Linked DNA regions of Sus scrofa. The protein of the gene in region 1 binds, or shares a complex with, the protein of each later gene. Links are inferred from orthologs where the notes say so. Each region holds a gene or a part of one and is shown in the gene's direction. Other genes may lie near its edges. The genes, in order: CDK2AP2, CHD5, MTA2 and MTA1.

The links.
Region 2: CDK2AP2 (region 1) and CHD5 share a complex: the UniProt entries of both Homo sapiens proteins name them as parts of the nucleosome remodeling and deacetylase (NuRD) repressor complex. The link is inferred for Sus scrofa from reciprocal best matches to the Homo sapiens genes CDK2AP2 and CHD5.
Region 3: CDK2AP2 (region 1) and MTA2 share a complex: the UniProt entries of both Homo sapiens proteins name them as parts of the nucleosome remodeling and deacetylase (NuRD) repressor complex. The link is inferred for Sus scrofa from reciprocal best matches to the Homo sapiens genes CDK2AP2 and MTA2.
Region 4: CDK2AP2 (region 1) and MTA1 share a complex: the UniProt entries of both Homo sapiens proteins name them as parts of the nucleosome remodeling and deacetylase (NuRD) repressor complex. The link is inferred for Sus scrofa from reciprocal best matches to the Homo sapiens genes CDK2AP2 and MTA1.

Annotation. Positions count from the first base shown.
Region 1 is NC_010444.4:5,023,620-5,028,070, forward strand, and holds CDK2AP2 (cyclin-dependent kinase 2-associated protein 2), read left to right. Parts: upstream 1-1,636; 5' UTR 1,637-2,545; coding exon 2,546-2,627; exon of another isoform or gene 2,628-2,847; intron 2,848-2,934; coding exon 2,935-3,035; intron 3,036-3,133; coding exon 3,134-3,266; intron 3,267-3,624; coding exon 3,625-3,692; 3' UTR 3,693-4,147; downstream 4,148-4,451. UniProt on the Homo sapiens protein: Acts as a component of the histone deacetylase NuRD complex which participates in the remodeling of chromatin.
Region 2 is NC_010448.4:67,083,872-67,088,500, reverse strand, and holds the start of CHD5 (chromodomain-helicase-DNA-binding protein 5), read left to right. Parts: upstream 1-1,815; 5' UTR 1,816-1,937; coding exon 1,938-2,016; intron 2,017-4,629. UniProt on the Homo sapiens protein: ATP-dependent chromatin-remodeling factor that binds DNA through histones and regulates gene transcription. May specifically recognize and bind trimethylated 'Lys-27' (H3K27me3) and non-methylated 'Lys-4' of histone H3.
Region 3 is NC_010444.4:9,143,937-9,147,594, forward strand, and holds the end of MTA2 (metastasis-associated protein MTA2), read left to right. Parts: intron 1-135; coding exon 136-364; intron 365-534; coding exon 535-624; intron 625-1,603; coding exon 1,604-1,722; intron 1,723-1,827; coding exon 1,828-1,970; intron 1,971-2,191; coding exon 2,192-2,357; 3' UTR 2,358-3,030; downstream 3,031-3,658. UniProt on the Homo sapiens protein: May function as a transcriptional coregulator. Acts as a component of the histone deacetylase NuRD complex which participates in the remodeling of chromatin.
Region 4 is NW_018084979.1:3,459,662-3,464,006, forward strand, and holds the start of MTA1 (metastasis-associated protein MTA1), read left to right. Parts: upstream 1-1,379; 5' UTR 1,380-1,459; coding exon 1,460-1,487; intron 1,488-4,345. UniProt on the Homo sapiens protein: Transcriptional coregulator which can act as both a transcriptional corepressor and coactivator. Acts as a component of the histone deacetylase NuRD complex which participates in the remodeling of chromatin.

The DNA of each region.
Region 1 (4,451 bases):
AGTCAGATTACTCTTTCCTGCTGTGGCTCAGCGGGTTAAGAACCTAACACAGTGCCTGTGAGGATGTGGTTCAATCCCTAGCCTTGCTCAATGGCTTAAGGATCCGGCATTGCCGCAAGCTGTGGTGTAGGTTGCAGGTGTGGCTCAGATCCGGTGTTGCTGTGGCTGTGATGTAAGCCAGCAGCTGCAGCTCTGATTCCACCCCTAGTCCGGGAACTTCTATATGCCGTGAGTGTGGCCGTAAAAAGAAAGAAAAAAATATTTCTGTATGTAACCAACTGTATTTATGTCAAGCTAAACATGAGCTCCTATTGAGAGCTCCAACTCCAATCCATTAGCCCATGGACTATTCTAACCTCCTTCCCTTGCTACCTGTAACTCCTCATTCCAACAGTGAGAAGCCATTCGTTCTACACTTATTTAATTTTGAATTCCAGTGTACGTGTGCAGTGGTTTCAGAATTGTCAACCCATCCCCCATGGGAAACCGCGTCATCAACCAGGGTCCAGTGCTTACGTGCAGATCTTTTTGTCTTTGTTCCTCCAGACTCCACTGATTTCCAGATTAGCACCTGATTCCCCCACCCCCTTCAGTGAGGCTGTTCCTACATTTGCAATACAGCTAGATTCTTTTGTCATATTCTGCTTTCCACCCTCGGATCGCCTGACCTTCTAAATGAAAAAGTTTACTCTTTGGTAACTGTCAAGGTCTTGCATGTACCATTACAGCATCATACATAATCACTTCATGCCCCCCCATCCCCTCTGCTCCCCCTGTTCAATTTTACCCCTCCCCCCTCTACCCAGCACCCCCTCACCCCAGCACCCTTGGCAACCAGTCATTTTTTTTACCTTCTGTATCAATTTGCCTTTTGCGGAATGCCGTACATTTGGGATCATACAGTATGTGGCTTTTTCAGACTGGCTTCTCAGCACTGTGTCTATATCTTTTCAAGGCTATAGATAGATGATTTCCTTTTATTGCTGAATAATAGTTGATTGTATGGCGACTGCTCAGTTTATCTGTCCATTCACCTGTTGAGTGGTGCCTCTCTGGGAAAACTTCTGTGATGTCACACTTCCCCTAAGTTCCAATGCTCCCTGTCCCAGTCTCCACATTGCCTTAGTCCATTGTGTGCTTTTGCTTCCCTGTCTGTCTCTCCTTGAGACTAGGAGCTCCTGGAGGACAGAAGCCATGGCCAGTTCACTTCCATATCAGTGTCCAGCATAAAGCCGAAGATGGGGGATGGAATCAAAATGTTTGCTGAATGAACGAATGAATGAATGTCCTGGACATGACCGGTACACAAAGCCAGAGAGGTTTTGAGAAGTAGCCTGGGAAAAAAGGGTTACGGTTTGGAGGAGAGTCTAAGATCTCAGGTTGTGAGGAATGAGATTTGAGGAGAGGGGTCTGGATAGAGAAATGGATAGGGAAGAGGAGAATGAAACATAAGCATTTTATGACTATTCGTTTAATCCACACAACAATCCTAGGAGATGGTTGTTCCTAGCGTCCCCATTTCACAGATGAGGAAGTTGAGGCCTAGGGAGGTAACTTGCCCAAGGGCAAGTGGGGGTGGGGGCTGAGGGTGCGATTAGACCCATCAGTCTGACCCCAGATGCTGCTGTAGTCCCTGATCCAGGACCGTCCGTGGTACAGAACCCGGGATGCCGTAAGTATTTAAGATTAGCTGTTCCCGCTATTATCATTATGGGGCACCGGCGTGGGGCCTTGGGGGAGGAGGGCAGGTTGAGGTCCAGGTAGTTGGAAGAGGGGCAGGACCCGAGGTCCAGGCAATTGCGAGGAAGAGGCGTGTCAGCAGCATTGGTGAGGGGTCCGTTGCCATGGGAACAAACGAGGCCCTAAGAGGGCGCATGCGCGGGTCGGGGACAGGTTGTTGAACCGGTGAAAGGTGACGTAAAAGCGCACGGGGTGGGGCGCAGGGCTGGGAACGTCAAAGCCCTGCGTCCTCCCGCACTCGGAGCGGCGGAAAGGCGCGCGCGCGCGCGCGGCAGCGGCGGCGACGGCGGCGACGACAGCAGCCCCAGCTGAACCGGGACGGCAGCGGAAAGGTGACGTACAAAGCAACGTGAGTGAGGCGTGAGGACGACAACCGCGCCCGGGAAGCCCCGCCGGGCTCGAACCGCGGCGGACCGGACCCAGGTCCGGCTTCCGAGGCTCCGCCTCTCGCGTTTTGGGACTAATCGGATTGAGAGCGCGCCGGCCCGGGCCGCGAACTCGCCAATTGCGGAGGGCATCGACCACTACCCAATCCGGAGCAGACAGGTGCGAGGTCCGGAAGGCGGAGACCAATCAGAAGCGGTTGCGGCCTGTTGGGGCCGGCCTCGGCCAATGACAAGGCCCGAGTGACGTCTTCGCGCACCAATCAGGAGTGAAGGAGCCTTCGTGCCCGCCCGCCCTTCCGGCCTGAGCTCTATTTACCAGGGGCGTGCTGCCGGCTTGCCAATCAGAGCGCAGCTAAGCGGCCAGGCAGCCAACCCGGGAGGAGCGGCCGGCCGGCGTCTGCCGCACCCAGGAGTTGGGGATGTCCTACAAACCCATCGCCCCCGCCCCCAGCAGCACCCCGGGCTCCAGCACCCCTGGGCCCGGCACCCCGGTCCCTACAGGTGAGGATCCAGCTCCACCCCTGCTCGCCTGTCCGGGCGGTGGAGGTCTCGAAGAGAGGACGGCCTGAGTTCTGCAGTAGTGGGCCTGCCGGCTACCCTCGCTGAGCCTCAGTTTACTGGCCTGTGATGTGGGCGTGGTCACGTAGGGCTTGTTGGTGAAGCACAGGGGGAGGGGTTTGTCCTGAAGTTTAGCAGCGTGAAGCCAAGCATCCCTTTGGAGGTAATCGGGCGAATCTGGTCCGGGGCTTGGAGCGCCGGGACGAGGCGTCCCTACCCCGCGCTGACCTCTCACTCGCGCCTGTTGCAGCTGGAAGTGTCCCATCGCCGTCGGGCTCGGTGCCGGGAGCTGCTGCTCCTTTCAGACCTCTGTTTAACGACTTTGGACCGCCCTCCATGGGCTATGTGCAGGTGAGTGGAGCCTAGGATCTTCCATAGGATTGCCTGTGGAGGAGGACTGGAGCCCCCCTCTTGGCCTGAGCTCACTGCCGTGTTCTCCTTTGACACAGGCAATGAAACCACCTGGCGCCCAGGGCTCCCAGAGCACTTACACGGACCTGCTGTCGGTCATAGAGGAGATGGGCAAAGAGATCCGACCCACCTATGCTGGCAGCAAGAGTGCCATGGAGCGCCTGAAGAGAGGTGAGTGAGGCCAGGCCCACCACCCCTGCCCAGGAGACTTAACACTGGGAAGGAAAGACAGGTGGAGGCCACCTGAGCCAAGCGTAGACTAGGGCCAGTATCACTGTCCACAGAGGCATTTTGCAGTGAATTGCAGCCGAGTCCGTTTCCAGGGAAGGTCCAGAGAATTTGTATTTCACCGGGGCAAATTTGAGCATTAACCGAACCTCTGATCTCATCCAGGCCCCCATTAGGTCATAGTCCCTTTCACTGAAAGGAAAGGGGAGTAGGGAGGGAGGGGGGTCTTCCTCTGGAGGGGGGTGTGGGGCTATGGAGGGTCACTGAGGCCTCATCTGTTCCTTTCCCATCCTCACCCCAGGCATCATCCATGCCCGGGCCCTAGTCAGAGAGTGCCTGGCAGAGACAGAGCGGAACGCCCGCACGTAACAGGACTCGACTCCTCCTCGGCGTCTGGACCTTTCCTGGCCACTGCAGAGCACCTGCTTCTCCCTGGCCTTCACCCCGAGTTGCACTTCCCATCCTGGGCTTCCTGTCCTGTGTCCTTTGGTGGGTGCCCTCCAGGAACCAGTGGGCGGCTCTCACTCCAGTCGGCAGCAGTAACTGGAACCCCCAAAAGAGGGAGCAGTGAGGTCCCTGGGAGTCCCACCCATGACCTGCCAACAGTGTTGATCCAGCTGGGGCTTTCTCCTTTCTGTGGCCCCACCGCTCAGCACTTACCCAGGACTTACCGTTTTCCCAGACCCCTTCTCCCCCCAGCAGAGCCTCAGAAGGCCTGTCGCCTCCCTGCCTCGTCTCCTAGGCCATAACTCTTTTCTCGGTGTGTCTTTTGCTAAATATGCCCTTTTTGTATAAATAAAAGATAATTTGGAGTTGTTCTCTCAGCTTGTAGTCTTTATGAGTCTGCTGCGTCTAGTAAGTCTGGGTGGGCCAGGAAGGAGGGCAAAGAGGAGACTCGGGGTGGTGCACTGGGTGGGAGAGAGGTCCACTGAGCCCAGCTTTGCCTTGCCTCCACTGTCCATTGACCTTGGTGGGACCCTGCCCTTGTCTGCCGCTGCCCCCTGCCTCTTCCACCTGTAAGTAGTAGAGAGGGTTGAGCTCCAGTGGCTGAAAGCCCTGCCCTCCTTCACAGTCATGCCACCAGGGGGCAGCGCAGGGCCTTGGCTGCCTCCACAGCTGAGGGCACTG
Region 2 (4,629 bases), on another chromosome or scaffold:
GGTGGTATGAACATCTCTCCTAGTGTGGCTTAAAGGGGGTCCAGGAGCTCCCGTCGTGACGCAGCAGAAAACAATCCGACTAGGAACCATGAGGTTGCAGGTTCGATCCCTGGCCCTGATCAGCGGGGTGGCTGTGGTGTAGGCTGGCAACTGTAGCTCCGATTAGATCCTTAGCCTGGGAACCTCCAAATGTTGTGGATACAGCCCTAAAAAGTAAATAAATAAAAAATAAAGGGGTCTAGGAGATGGCATTCCAGGCGCCCTGTACTTTATCTAGGAGGCGGGACAGACATGCCCTCGCCCAGGAATGAATGAAGAGGAGTTTGGTTTGGGATGGGAAGAGGGAGTGAAGATTCTATACATCTTTCCAGCTCTCCCCGAGCCATCGTCACCTGCAGGGTACAGCTTGGACTCACTGGAGATTGCGTTGTGACCACCTCACCAAGCACCCACAACTCTCCTGGCTCCTCAAAGGCCCGAGGAGAGGAGCCCTCCTGGGGATGCCAGTGTCACGGGTCCTAGTGAATGCCCACCTGGACAGAGCAGGTGCTCAGCCAAGACCAGAGGGGTGGGTCCTAGAGAGGAGACCTCCTCCCAGCTTCTCTGGGCTTCCCGTCAGGTGGATACTGCCAGGGTCCCTGGTAACCAACAACCAGGTTTCCAGTGGGTCTCCCCCCAAGTGAGCCTGGCCCCAGGCTGTGAGGTGAGGGTGCCCTCCCCTTACTGGCTCTTCCAGGGTTAGAAAGCCAGCCATCCTCCCCACCACGGAAACTTTTGCGTTCTTAGAGTAGCTTTAAGACTGGCAGCAGCCAAGGCTGGCGGAGCTCATTTAGAATTCCAGTCTTGCTCCCGAGGGCTTTGGCTTCCATCTTCACCTTTAGCAACCGAGGGCTGGTGGCGTGGCTCCTTCCCGCTCCGCGACAGGTGTCGCTTCTGAGCGGGAGTGTTGGGCACGCGAACGCAGAGCCGCATCACCCACCGCCCGCGGGGGTCGGGCCTGGATAGGTTTAAAGCGGACCCCGCCTGGAGGGGCGTTTGGGAAGGGGGCACGTGGGCGGTGGGAGCGGGGTGCGATGGGTGGAGGGAGGAGCCAGCCTGCATGGATTTTTTTTCGGGAGGAATCAGACCCGCCGTCTGCAGCACGGCCCTTCACCATGTGCGGAACGCATTTTTCTTCTAATCCTTTTTGGAAAGGGGGTTAGAAGCGTTTTGCGGCTGGAGCTGCTGCAGGAGCCGAGGGTCTCGGTGCGTGTGAGCGGAGTACGACAGCCCGCTGCCTCGGGGACCGGGCCTCCGCGCCCCAGGGGACTCGGGGCCGAGCGCCTTTCCGGGCGGGGGCAGCGGCGGCATCGGGTCCCGCTAGGGGTGCGCGGGCTGGCGTTTCCCCGCCTCCCACTGGGCCCGGCCTGCCCGCCCGAGTCCCCGCTGCCCGCTCGGCCGTCGGGTCCCCGGGCGCGCGGGCGCCTCGACGGCTCCCCCTGCCGGAGGGCTCTGCCCCCACCCCGCACCCAGAGGCTCAGGACTAGTCCCCTCAACTTGTTCTCTGCTGTTAACTAGTCGCGCTGCCGGAACGATGGGATGGGGTTGCCACAGCAACCAGACTGGACGTCACAATCCGGGCATGTGTGCCGCCCCCCCGCCGTGCCTCCGTGCAGCCGGCGCTGCCGCCGCCACCTCGGCCGGCTGCGGGACTCGGGCTGCCGGGCGCGGTGGGCGGAGCAGCCCGGGCTTTGCGGGGAGCGGGGTGAAGGCGGCCGAGACGAAGGGGGTCGAGACGGGGGAGTGGAGGTTTGGGGGGTGGGGGGGCAGGCGGCCGCCATCTTCTCGCTGAGGCCGCCTCGCCCGCCGCGCGCGCCCGTCCGGCAGCGCACGGGTTAAGGCTGGCACCGCGCCCGGCGGGAGGGGGGGCGCCCACCTCCCCTCCCCCCGCGCCGGGCATGCGGGGCCCGCTGGGCACCGAGGAGGAGCTGCCGCGGCTGTTCGCGGACGAGATGGAGAACGAGGACGAGATGTCAGGTGAGCCGGGCACCGGCTGCGCCCGGGGCCGGGACTGCGGGGGGCGCGGGGTCCGCCGGGGCCCCGCGGCCGGACCTCGCGGGCGGCGCTGGCGGCGCGCGGGAGGGGGCGCTGGGCTGCGGGCTGCGCTCCCGCCCTGCTGGCGCCGCGCAGCCAAGGGCGCGGGGCTGGGCTATCGCCGGGGCGCGGCACGCGGGCCGCCAAGGGCGGGTGCGATCGGGGCCACCCGGGCCGCGGCGCGGGCAGAGGACCGCTGGGGGCCTCGCCGGGCGCCCGGAGAGGGGAGGGGGCGCGGCGCCGCGGGGGTCAGCCCGCGTGCCCTTGAAGGGGGCGGGAATCGCGCTCGGCGGCGGGTGCCGCGCACCCGGCGCTCCCGGCTCGCGCTGCGCACCCCTGACCTCGCGGGGCCTGGCGGGGGCTGGAGGGACCGGATACCCGGAGCCGGCCTCTCTCAGCCCTAGGGTCTCGGCCCCGGGGTCTCAGCCGCAGGGTGGGCTGGGTGGGGCCCGGAGCGGGCGGAGGACCGGGCGTGCTGGGCGAGCCGCGAGCGCCCTGGCTGCCCTCCAGGCCCACCAAGGCTCCGGGCTGGAGCGCGCGGGCTCGGACTCCCGCTCCCTGTTCCCCGGCCGCTGGGTGCCGCGAGTGCCGCTCCCAAGCACTTTGCCGGGGCCGCCGGCGTCGTCCTGGCGCGCCCTAGCGCCGGCCAGCGTCTCCAGCCCGCGGTCGCCCGGGTAGTGGCGTTCCCAGCCCACCGGGCTTTGGCTCCGGGCCTGACTCCTAGGGCCACCGCCCTGGCCCATCCCTCTCCAGAATTCAGCAGAAACAGGGCTCGTGCGTCGCCCTTGCAGGGCGATTCTTTAGTTAACTGCTCCCCATTTGTTCGGGACGTTTTCCCTCCCGGCGCAGCTGGGCAGGGCCTCACCCGGTCGGCCAGCCTTCCTCCTCCTCTTCCCGGGGACTGTTCGGTCTCAGCTTCCCGCACCCCGTCGGCGGCCCCTCCTGGGCTCCAGAGAGACTTGCGGGAGGCACGGGAGCCCGCCTTGGCCCCGGAAGGTGCCGTCTGGCCCCAGGAGCCCCTGCCCCCGAGGGGAGACCATTCTACAGACTGGCCCCTGGGCTCCGGGGTGCGGGAGGTGAGGGGGGAGGGCCCGCCTCGCAAGGGATTCCCGCCAGGTGGCCACGCCCACCGGAGGGCCTCCCCCACCCCCCTCCCCACTTGTTTGCGGGCTTTCATGCTGTGCCTGGGGCCTCACCCAGCCCGTTTGGACAGTTCGGCCAAGTTTGCAAAGAGCCTCCTGGAGCGAGGGGAGTGAGGAGGAGGTGGGCCCACGCTGCGTGGTCGCTTGGACAATAGTTGACCGTCGCTTCCTGGGGTCCGGGGAATTAGGCCCATTTTCCGGAAGGAAACACAGAGAGGGCCCAGGAGAAAATCCACGGCTGTTTTCTGCCCAGCAAGCCAGCTCCTCCGTAAGCCTGTTCACGGGCATCCTGGTGGTGCTTGGGGCGTGGCCCTTTGTGGCACCAGTGGGGGCAGTGGCCAGCTGAACATGGCTTATTTTCCAGACTTCTCTAGCTCCCTGATGGATCCCCTGTTTCCCTTCCCACCCACTCTGGCTCTCCTTGTTGTGCCCCAGGGCTCAGAGGATCTGGAGGGGAGGGGACCAGGGCAGATGTTCCAAGGCTGGCAGACACCCAACTCACTCTCTTTGGGCCAGAGGGGTTGGGCCTTGGTCAGGGTGCCCTGTCCTCCACCTTGTCTCCCTCCAGCTGGCACCCATGGCTCCAGGGCAGGGCCTGGGGGTAGGGTTGTCCCCAGGGCCTCTGGGACCGCTCTCAGAGCCCTGCAGAGCAGAGACCGAGGCCTGTCCTTCAGCAAGACCAGAGTGTGTCCTGAGCCTTCCGAGCTCCCAGCTCCTCTCCGCCTTGCCCCTGGTCTGAGCCACTGTCCCCTCCGGCTCGTCCATACCAGAGTCTCCCATCCTGTCCTCCCCGCCCAGGCTTCGCTCGGCAGTCAGGGTCACCTTGGTCCGCACAAGCCAGACCCAGACCCCCACGCTTGGACGGATCGCAGAGCGCTGCTCGAGCCCACCCTCTTCTCCGCCCCCACCTCCTGCTCACATCCTGGCTTCCTCGATGCTTCTGGAAGCTCCCAGGCTCCATCCTGCCCTGAGCACTGGCCGTGGCCTCGACAGGCTCTTTCCTCGGCTCATGACTGCTGCCTTCCTGCCATCGAGGTCCCAGCTCCTGGCTCAAGTGTCCGTCCCCCTCCCACCCACCCCCGTCATTCTTAGGCCCATTTTAATGCTTTGTTTTCTTGGCAGCACTTCCTACTCCCTGAAATATTATCATCAGCTGCCTTGTGACTGTCGGCTCCCCCCTCGAATGTGACTCCTTTGACCACCCAGTGTGCCCCCGCCTGGGGCCGTGGATGCTAGATAGAGGTTTGTGGCCCCATTGTCTGAGGCCTGGGAGTCCCTGGGTCCCCCTGGCCTTTGGACGTGATGACAGCCTCAGCCCGGACCTCGTGTCTCTCCTCAAGGGCTGGCCACCTGGCCCCCAGCCCTCCTCTGTGGCCCCTCTGCAGCCTCCGCCTGAGCTCATGGCCGTGGCCTG
Region 3 (3,658 bases), about 4.1 Mb from region 1:
GCTAGTGGTTGGGGAGCCAGGTAGGTTGGCACAACCGCAAAGTGATCCGGCAGGAATAAAAGGCCCTCTGCAGAGAATAGAAGGGAGCCTGGGTGTCAGTCTGTGTTTTCTCCTTTTTCTATGTCCTTCTTCCAGGAGCCACACTCGAGAGGTCATTTGTCCAGACCTGAAGCCCAAAGTCTCTCTCCCTATACGACTAGCGCCAACCGGGCCAAGCTGCTGGCCAAGAACAGGCAAACATTCCTGCTCCAGACCACGAAGCTGACCCGTCTTGCCAGACGCATGTGCAGGGACCTGTTACAGCCGAGGAGGGCTGCCCGACGACCCTATGCCCCTATCAATGCCAATGCCATCAAGGCAGAGTGTAAGGGCAGCTTCAGGGTTTGTTCTGGCCGGAGGGCGTTCCTCTGGATATTTACTGACAGTAGGAATAGTGGCCCATAAGGATTTGTTGGGAACTTGGACACAGTTCCTGGCCCCAGAAGAGGCCTGAATAGTGAAGTCCCTTCAAAAGCTTTTGTCTTTGTTCTCCAGGCTCCATTCGACTTCCTAAGGCCGCCAAGACTCCACTGAAGATTCACCCTCTGGTGCGACTTCCCCTGGCAACTATTGTGAAAGATTTGGGTAAGGGATGGGGAACTGGACTGCGGTACAGGTGGTATAGGATGGGGAGGCTCTTAGGGTGGTGGCTGCCTTTCAGTCCTTTTATTATCAAGACCTATCTCTTCCCCTACGGCATATGGAGGTTCCCAGACTAGGGGTCTAATCAGAGCTATAGCTGCCGGCCGATGCCGCAGCCACAGCAACGCGGGATCCGAGCTGCGTCTGCGACCCACACCACAGCTCACGGCAACGCCGGATCCTTAACCTACTGAGCAAGGCCAGGGATCGAACCTATGTCCTCATGGATGTTAGTCGGGCTCTTTACTGCTGAGCCACAATGAGAACTCCTGAAGTGTTTTTTTTTTTTTTTTTCATGGAGTTTCCTGGCGGGTCACTGGCATTGTCACTGCTGTGGCTCTGGTCACTGCTTTGGCTTGGGTTTGATACCTGTATTGAGAATTTCTTTTTTTTTTTTTTTTTTTTTTTTTTTGTTGTTGTTGTTGTTGTTGCTATTTCTTGGGCCACTCCCACGGCATATGGAGGTTCCCAGGCTAGGGGTTGAATCGGAGCTGTAGCCACCGGCCTACACCAGAGCCACAGCAACGCGGGATCCGAGCCGCGTCTGCGACCTACACCACAGCCCACGGCAACGCTGGATCGTTAACCCACTGAGCAAGGGCAGGGACCGAACCCGCAACCTCATGGTTCCTAGTCGGATTCGTTAACCACTGCGCCACGACGGGAACTCCCTGTATTGAGAATTTCTAAATGCCATGGGTGCATCCAAAAAAAAAAAAGTTTTTATCATAAGCTATTCAGTAAACTGTGCACTGATTGATAAGATCACACTCATGTTTGACTTTTGAAATGCTGGTAATCGCTTGCCAGCCCCCTCCCCCATCACTCCTTTTAGGAATGCCCAGGGAAGATGCATAGAAAAGAGGGAGTGTGAAAGTTCTCTCAGGTTTCCTTTATTTATCTATTTGTTTTTCCCTGACAGTGGCCCAGGCACCTCTGAAACCAAAAACACCTCGGGGTACCAAGACACCAATCAATAGGAACCAGCTGACCCAGAATCGGGGGCTGGGGAGCATTATGGTGAAACGGGCCTATGAGACTGTGAGTTGACAGACTGGAGTGGGTCACGTTGAGTTAGATGGGTGTTTATTTCTGATGGGCGTCTGAGAGTCCCCCTTCTCATTACGCTGCCCTACCCTTTTCCAGATGGCAGGAGTCCCCTTCTCTGCCAATGGAAGGCCTCTGGCTTCAGGGATTCGCTCAAGCTCACAGCCAGCAACCAAGCGTCAGAAACTAAACCCAGCTGACGCCCCCAATCCTGTGGTGTTTGTGGCCACAAAAGACACCAGGTGGGGAGCCCAGCATGGGAGGGGCTGAGAGGTTGACCACCCAGCCTGGTGGGTGTGGGAAATAGGAGTATCTGAGCAAGACCAACTCCAGGGAGACCCTGGCTGCAGGGTGGCCGTGCTAGGAAGGAAGGGGCTGGAGATGGGGGATTGCAGTGTGGAATGTGGGGTTTCAGCCTGAAGGTCTTTGCCTTCTCCCTTGTCCCCCTTTCCTTCCTGACCAGAGCCCTGCGGAAGGCTCTGACCCACCTGGAGATGCGGCGAGCTGCCCGCCGGCCCAACTTGCCTCTGAAGGTGAAGCCACCGCTGATTACAGTGCGGGCTCCAGTCTCTCTTCCTCCATCCGCACATCCTGCCAGCACCAATGAGCCCATTGTCCTGGAAGACTGAGCATCTGTGGGGCAGGGAGGAGGGCTGAAAGCTAGAGGGTGGGTGCACCGGGCACCTAGCCTCCCTTCCCTCTAGTGTCAAAGGGAATGAGGAGTGCGGGAGGGAGGGAGCAAGTGAGTGTGTCCTTGGAGGGGATGGGCGCCCTCTGGTGTTACTACTTGGAGGCTTGTCCCCTTCCGGTGCTTCTCCATGCCTGGTGATGGAGGGCAAACTGCAGGAACTTGGCCCATTGTGGGAACCTAGCCTGTTTTGGGGGTAGGGCCCACAGTTGTCTTGGATAGTTTTTGGGGGGAGGGTTTTTTAATTTTTTAAAAATTTTGCCTCCCTTTGTGAAAGGGGATGGGAGAGGGGAAGAGTAAGCAGATATCAGGTGGTATCTGGTTGGGGGAGGGGGGCGTGCACTGCCATTACTGCCATGTCTATCTTTTTTTTCTCCTTTTTTCTAACTGGGGGTTCCTCTTCCTGTCCGGTGTCCGGACTTTCCCAATCGGAGTTTGAGGCCCCTAAGCTGGTATCAACCCCAGCCTATGCTCGCTCTTTCCTTCCCTCTCCTTGCCCCCTCTGCCTTTTGTACGCCAATTCTCAGAAATAAAGATCTTTTGTCCGTTTTTTTAACCTCGGATTCTGTAATTGGTTCTTATAGTAACAAATAAAAAGCTGTTTTCTTCAGCTCCTCCTGGCTCAGCTATTCTCTGCTGTGTGTGTGTGTGTGTGTGTGTGTGTGTGTGTGTGTGTGTGTGGTATCTTTGGGAAAATAAAGGACAAAGGACAATAGAGGAGGTATAGATGGGGGCTTGCCTGGGGTAGAGCTTTATGAGATACACAGCCTGGGACAGGTGGCCTGTTCCATCTTGCTTTCCTGTGGGACCCACACTGCTCCCCAGCTCTCTGTGGTACTGGAGCCAGAGTATCATCTTGGCTGAGATTCACTCAAACCCGTTGAGATGAGCTGGTTCTCAGAATGACTGGTGGCTTCCATAGGAGTGTGAGTGTGTGAAGGTGCTTCTTTATTTCCCAACTTTTAAACTCCTCTCTCCCTTTTACTTGGGGAATTCTGGGAGTTGCGAGGTTGGAGCAAGATGTAGTCCACCTCGGGGGGTGATGTAGGGTCATACCACCTAATGCTGGTGTATTCGCACAGACTGCTGTTGCAAGATCTCCAAGGCCAGCAACTGCTTTGATATTGGGGTCCACTCTAGTGCCATTTCCTCCCTTTTTAGGTTTGGGAGACAGATGAGACGCCTGAGCTAGTCCCGACAGGAGGAGCACCTCAGGAGAGAGAACAACAAATTAAATCTATT
Region 4 (4,345 bases), on another chromosome or scaffold:
CGGTGCTTTGGGAGGGCGATTCCTCCTCCTTGGGGGAGTCGTGCAATTCCAATGGCTTCCGACTGCCACTCACCTGCCAGCACCCGCGCCGGGAGGAAAACGGCCCCCACCTTTCAGCTGCCTCTGCTCTCCAGGGGCTGTCTTATTTCCAGAAGGGAGGCAGGAGCAGGCACTTTACAGGCAGGACGTTGTGGGCACTCTCTGTGACCAGCAGCTGCCTGGGCATGTATTTATTGGGGGTTCTGATTAAGTTTTGGTCCACCTGTTAGGTAGTGCTGCAGCTTCGCCGTCCAGATGAGGAGATGCAGGCCCCGGAGGCAGGGACCAGGCCTGCGGGGAGCGAGGGAGACCATCGCACCTCGCGACACTTGGGGGACGGCCTACATGTCAGCAGCACCTAGCCCCTGCTCCTCTGCCTTTCCTGGCAGGCGGTCAGCCCTGGGGCCTCTGGAGCCCCAGCCCCTCCAGGTCCCACAGGGCTGGCTCCTCCTTTGCAGCCCCCTGGCAGTCAGGTTGATCCTGGACCCGGCCCCTTGCTTCTCTCCGTGCGGGGCTCCATCCCCTCCGCCCAGCAGCCTCCCCACCCGCCTCCCCGGGCAGCGTCCGGGCCGTCCTGGACCTCAGGCGCCCAGCTCACACGCGGGGCTGGGAGGACAGGCGGGAGCCTCGCTCGCTCCCGCGGCCCCCGCGCCTCCCTGCACCCCCTGGTCTGGGCTGTGCCTGCGGGGGGGGGCCCCCCCGGGGGCGGGGGGCGCCTTCCGGAGGGCGGCCTCCTCCGGGCACGCCCACCCCTCCTCCCTCGGGCACCGTCAGGGGGGCCGTGCCAGCTGAGAGGTGGGGGAAAGCGGCCCGCAACTGTGTGCCGGGGGCCGTGCGGGCGGGGCGCCGAGGGCCGGGGCCGGAGGGCCCGGGCCGCCCACGGAGCGGCGGGCGGCCGAGCGCCTGCGAACGCGCGGACTCGGAGGGCGCCCTCGGGCGGGAGGCTGCGCGGAAAGGGCCGGGCGGGGGGCGGGGGGGGGCCAGGGCGGACCCGGGGCGGAGGGCCGATGGGCCGCTGCGGCCCGGGGCCCGGGGTGCGGGCGGGGCGGGGCGGGGGCGCGGGAGGCGGCGGGGAGCGCGCGGCCGCGGGGCGGGTAACGGCCCGCGCGGTGGGCGGTGGCGCCCGAGGCCCCTCCCTCCCCGCGGCCGCTCCTCCTCTTCCTCTCCCGCCCGCGCCGCGGCCCTCGGTCCCTGCGCGGCCTCGGCGGCCTCGGCGGCCTCGGCGGCGGCGGCGGCGGCGGCGGCGGCGGCGGCGGCAGCGGCGGCGGCGGCGGCGGCGGCGGCAGCGCGGCCCCTTTAAACCGCCCGCCCGCCCGCGCCCCCGCGCCCCGCGCCCGCGCGCCTCCATTTTCCAGGCCGCCCGCGCCGAGCCCAGCGCCCAGCCCGGCCCAGCCCGCGGCCTCCGCCGCCGCCGCCGGACATGGCCGCCAACATGTACAGGGTCGGAGGTAAGGCCGCCGCCCGCCCGCCGCCGCCGCCGCGAGGCGCCGCGGGCCCCGGCCCCGCCACCCGCGTCCCCGCCGGGCCCCCCATCGCGCCGCCCCGCCGCGCCTCAGGCCCCGGTCGGCGCCCCGGGCCTCGCCGTCCGCCGCCCCCTTCCCCCCGCGCGCGCCCCCTCGGCACCCCCTGCCCGGGTCCCCCATCTTGTCCCGCCCCTCCCCCCGTTCCGCTTCCCCCCTCCCCCTCCGCCCGCCTCCCCATCGCCCCCCCATCGGCCCACTTCTGGTCCCCTCCCTCCACCTCTGCACCCCTCCCCCACTGCAGGCCGCCTGCCTGGGCCACCCTCCCTCCTGCCCGCGGCGCCCACTCCTCTGCTGCGCCCCCCCCCCCGCCCCTGTCTCCTTCCCCTTCCCGCTCCATCTTTTCTGAGCAGCCGGCTCCTCCACCACCACCTCTGCCCTGGCCGTGCTCGTCGCCACCCGACTTGGCCCCTTGGCCCGGCCCCTCCTGGAGCCGGTGGGGGGTAGTGGCTGGGCCGGCAGCGGCCAGGCGGGGGCTCTGCCCACCTGTTGGGGGCTGAGCGTGGGGCTGAGGAGCTCTGGGAGTCGCAGAGCATCCTTTGGGGCTGGGGCGCCTGGCGGGATCCCCCCAACTCGGGAGCAGGAGCACGTGGCATTGGGAGGTGCTGGCGGCTCCTGGGAGTGGGAGTTTGGGGCCCTTGTGGTGTGGAGAGCACCCCCGCGGCGGCGCCGAGGGCTGGTTCAGCTGCTGGGGGCGGGGGGCAGTGGTCCCCTCGGGGGGTGGGGAGCTGTATGTGGCGGCCGCGTTCCCGCCGCGAGCCTGCGGTCACCTGGGAGCTGCCCTCTGGGCCGGCGTGGGCCTGGGGGCTTCCCCGGCAGGATTCCCTCTCCAGGTCCTCAGCGGCCTGTGCTCCCCCCAGCGTGCTGCTGGCACCCTGATCTTTTCTCTGCTGTCTCCTGTTTCTGCGGCCCAGCAGGGAGGTGCTTTGCATTTGGGAAAGAGGCAGGTGGCCCCCTGGTTAGGGGGTGCAGAGCTAGCTGAGATCCGGGGTGGGGGCTTCCTTCCTGGGGCTGTTGCTTCTCCCACTCAAGCCCCAGGAAGCCTCCAGCTTTGGGCTTTGCCCCACTTTGTGGGGAGGGGGCTCTAGGAGGCTCGTGCTACGGGTCCCCACGGGGTCCCGAGCTGGCCTCATCTGGTCCTTCACAGGTGGTGAGATGCCCACCCTCTCGGAGACTTTGAGCCGCCCACTTGCCCCCCTTTGGTCAGGGCTGAGGACAGCTCTGGCCTGGCTTTCCAAGTCACCTGTGTCTTCAGTCTACCCTCTCTCGCTGGCCGGCTGACCCCCGAGTGCCAGGCCAACCTTGTGACCTTGGGCGCACCCGCCCCGCTGTCCAGCCCTCCCTCCTCTCTGGCTCAGAGGTGTCACGGAAATGGGGGCCCTTACCCCATTCGGCAGCAGGCCCCTGGTGGACACGGCGGTGGCGGGGGGAGAGCAGGCTAGGGGGCGGGGGCCTTCAGAGAGGGGCCTGTTGGTTTCCCAACTTCTCCAGTCCGGGGGGGAGCCGATCTGTGGAGGGAGGCCCCCGGGGTCTCTCAATACACTGCCAGGCTGGGTGGCCCCCCGTGGAACCCCACGGACGGAGTCGCTTTCTCCGTCCGTTGGCCCCTAGCCCAGCTGCTGCAGCCCAGGGCTCCTGCCCGCCTCGCAGCTGCCCCCTTTCAGTGCCACCCCCTCGCCCTCCTGGAACGCCTTTCCTCAGCGCAGACCCCCTCCTGCCCAGCCCAAGGCCCTCCTCTGGTCTGGCCGTCCCCCCGCCCACTCGGTGCCCCTTGGCTTTCCCCACGCAGAGCCTCTCTGCAGGTGTGGGCTCACCTCCCACCCCAGGCTGTGGCCCTGAAGTCTTGCTCAGCGTGTTCAGTAAATGGAGTGTTCCCAGGGCAGGGGCGCCCAGCTCCCGGCCGGCCGCAGACACCGAGGCTGGAGAGGGAGGCTTGGGTGTCACCCAGAGGCCCTCCGTGGCCTCCTCTGCCTCTCCCTCCCAGGCCCCCCGCCCCGTGCCTGCTTGTCGCGACTGGTTCCAAGGGCCGGGGTGCCCCTGGACTTGGACTTCTGTCACCCTCCTCTTGGCAACCCCCCTCCCTTGGTGTAAACAGGGGTCCTGTGGTGTAGCCCATGGGTGGGGCTGCTTCCACTTGGACCCCTTCGGTCCCTGCAGGGAAGCCTCGTTTGCCCCTGTCCACTGGGCCGTGGGCTCGGCCGGCCTGGTGCGGGCCGGCTGGGCTGCTGTCCCGAGGTGCTGCTGCTGCGCGGGGGTCCGTGTCTGGGTGTCTCAGGGTCCAGATGGAGGCGTCCTGCCCTGGCCGGGGGCCTGCCCCCGCCCGCCTCCGGGGTCTCCTCCACTAAAGACCCGGAGAGCAGAGCCTTTGCCGAAGGTGCCGGCTTCAGCAGGGAGAAGCACAGGACGCCTGTTAAATTTGAATTTCAGATAAACAGTTTCTTAGCATACGTGTGTCCCGAATACTGTGTGGGCCACACTTACATGAGAAGTTGCTCGCAGAGTCCCGCGTCACTTGGGAGTCCTGCGTGTCCCACCTGGCAGGCTGTCCCAAGGCCCTGCCAGGAGTCGGGCGGGGTGAAGGCCTGGCTGCAGCTTTGGGCCAGCTGACCGCCTGGGCCGATTGGGTCGGCCTGGGAGGGGCAGGGCCTGCTTCGTCCCTGGGAAGTGACCTGGCCTGGACAGAGGCCTTCTGTCGGCAGTGGCAGCTGTGGCCGCAAGGGTGGCAGGCGAGGTCTCGGTGTGTACGGCGGGGTCAGCCACGGCCCGGCTCCTCTGGGGTCCGTGCC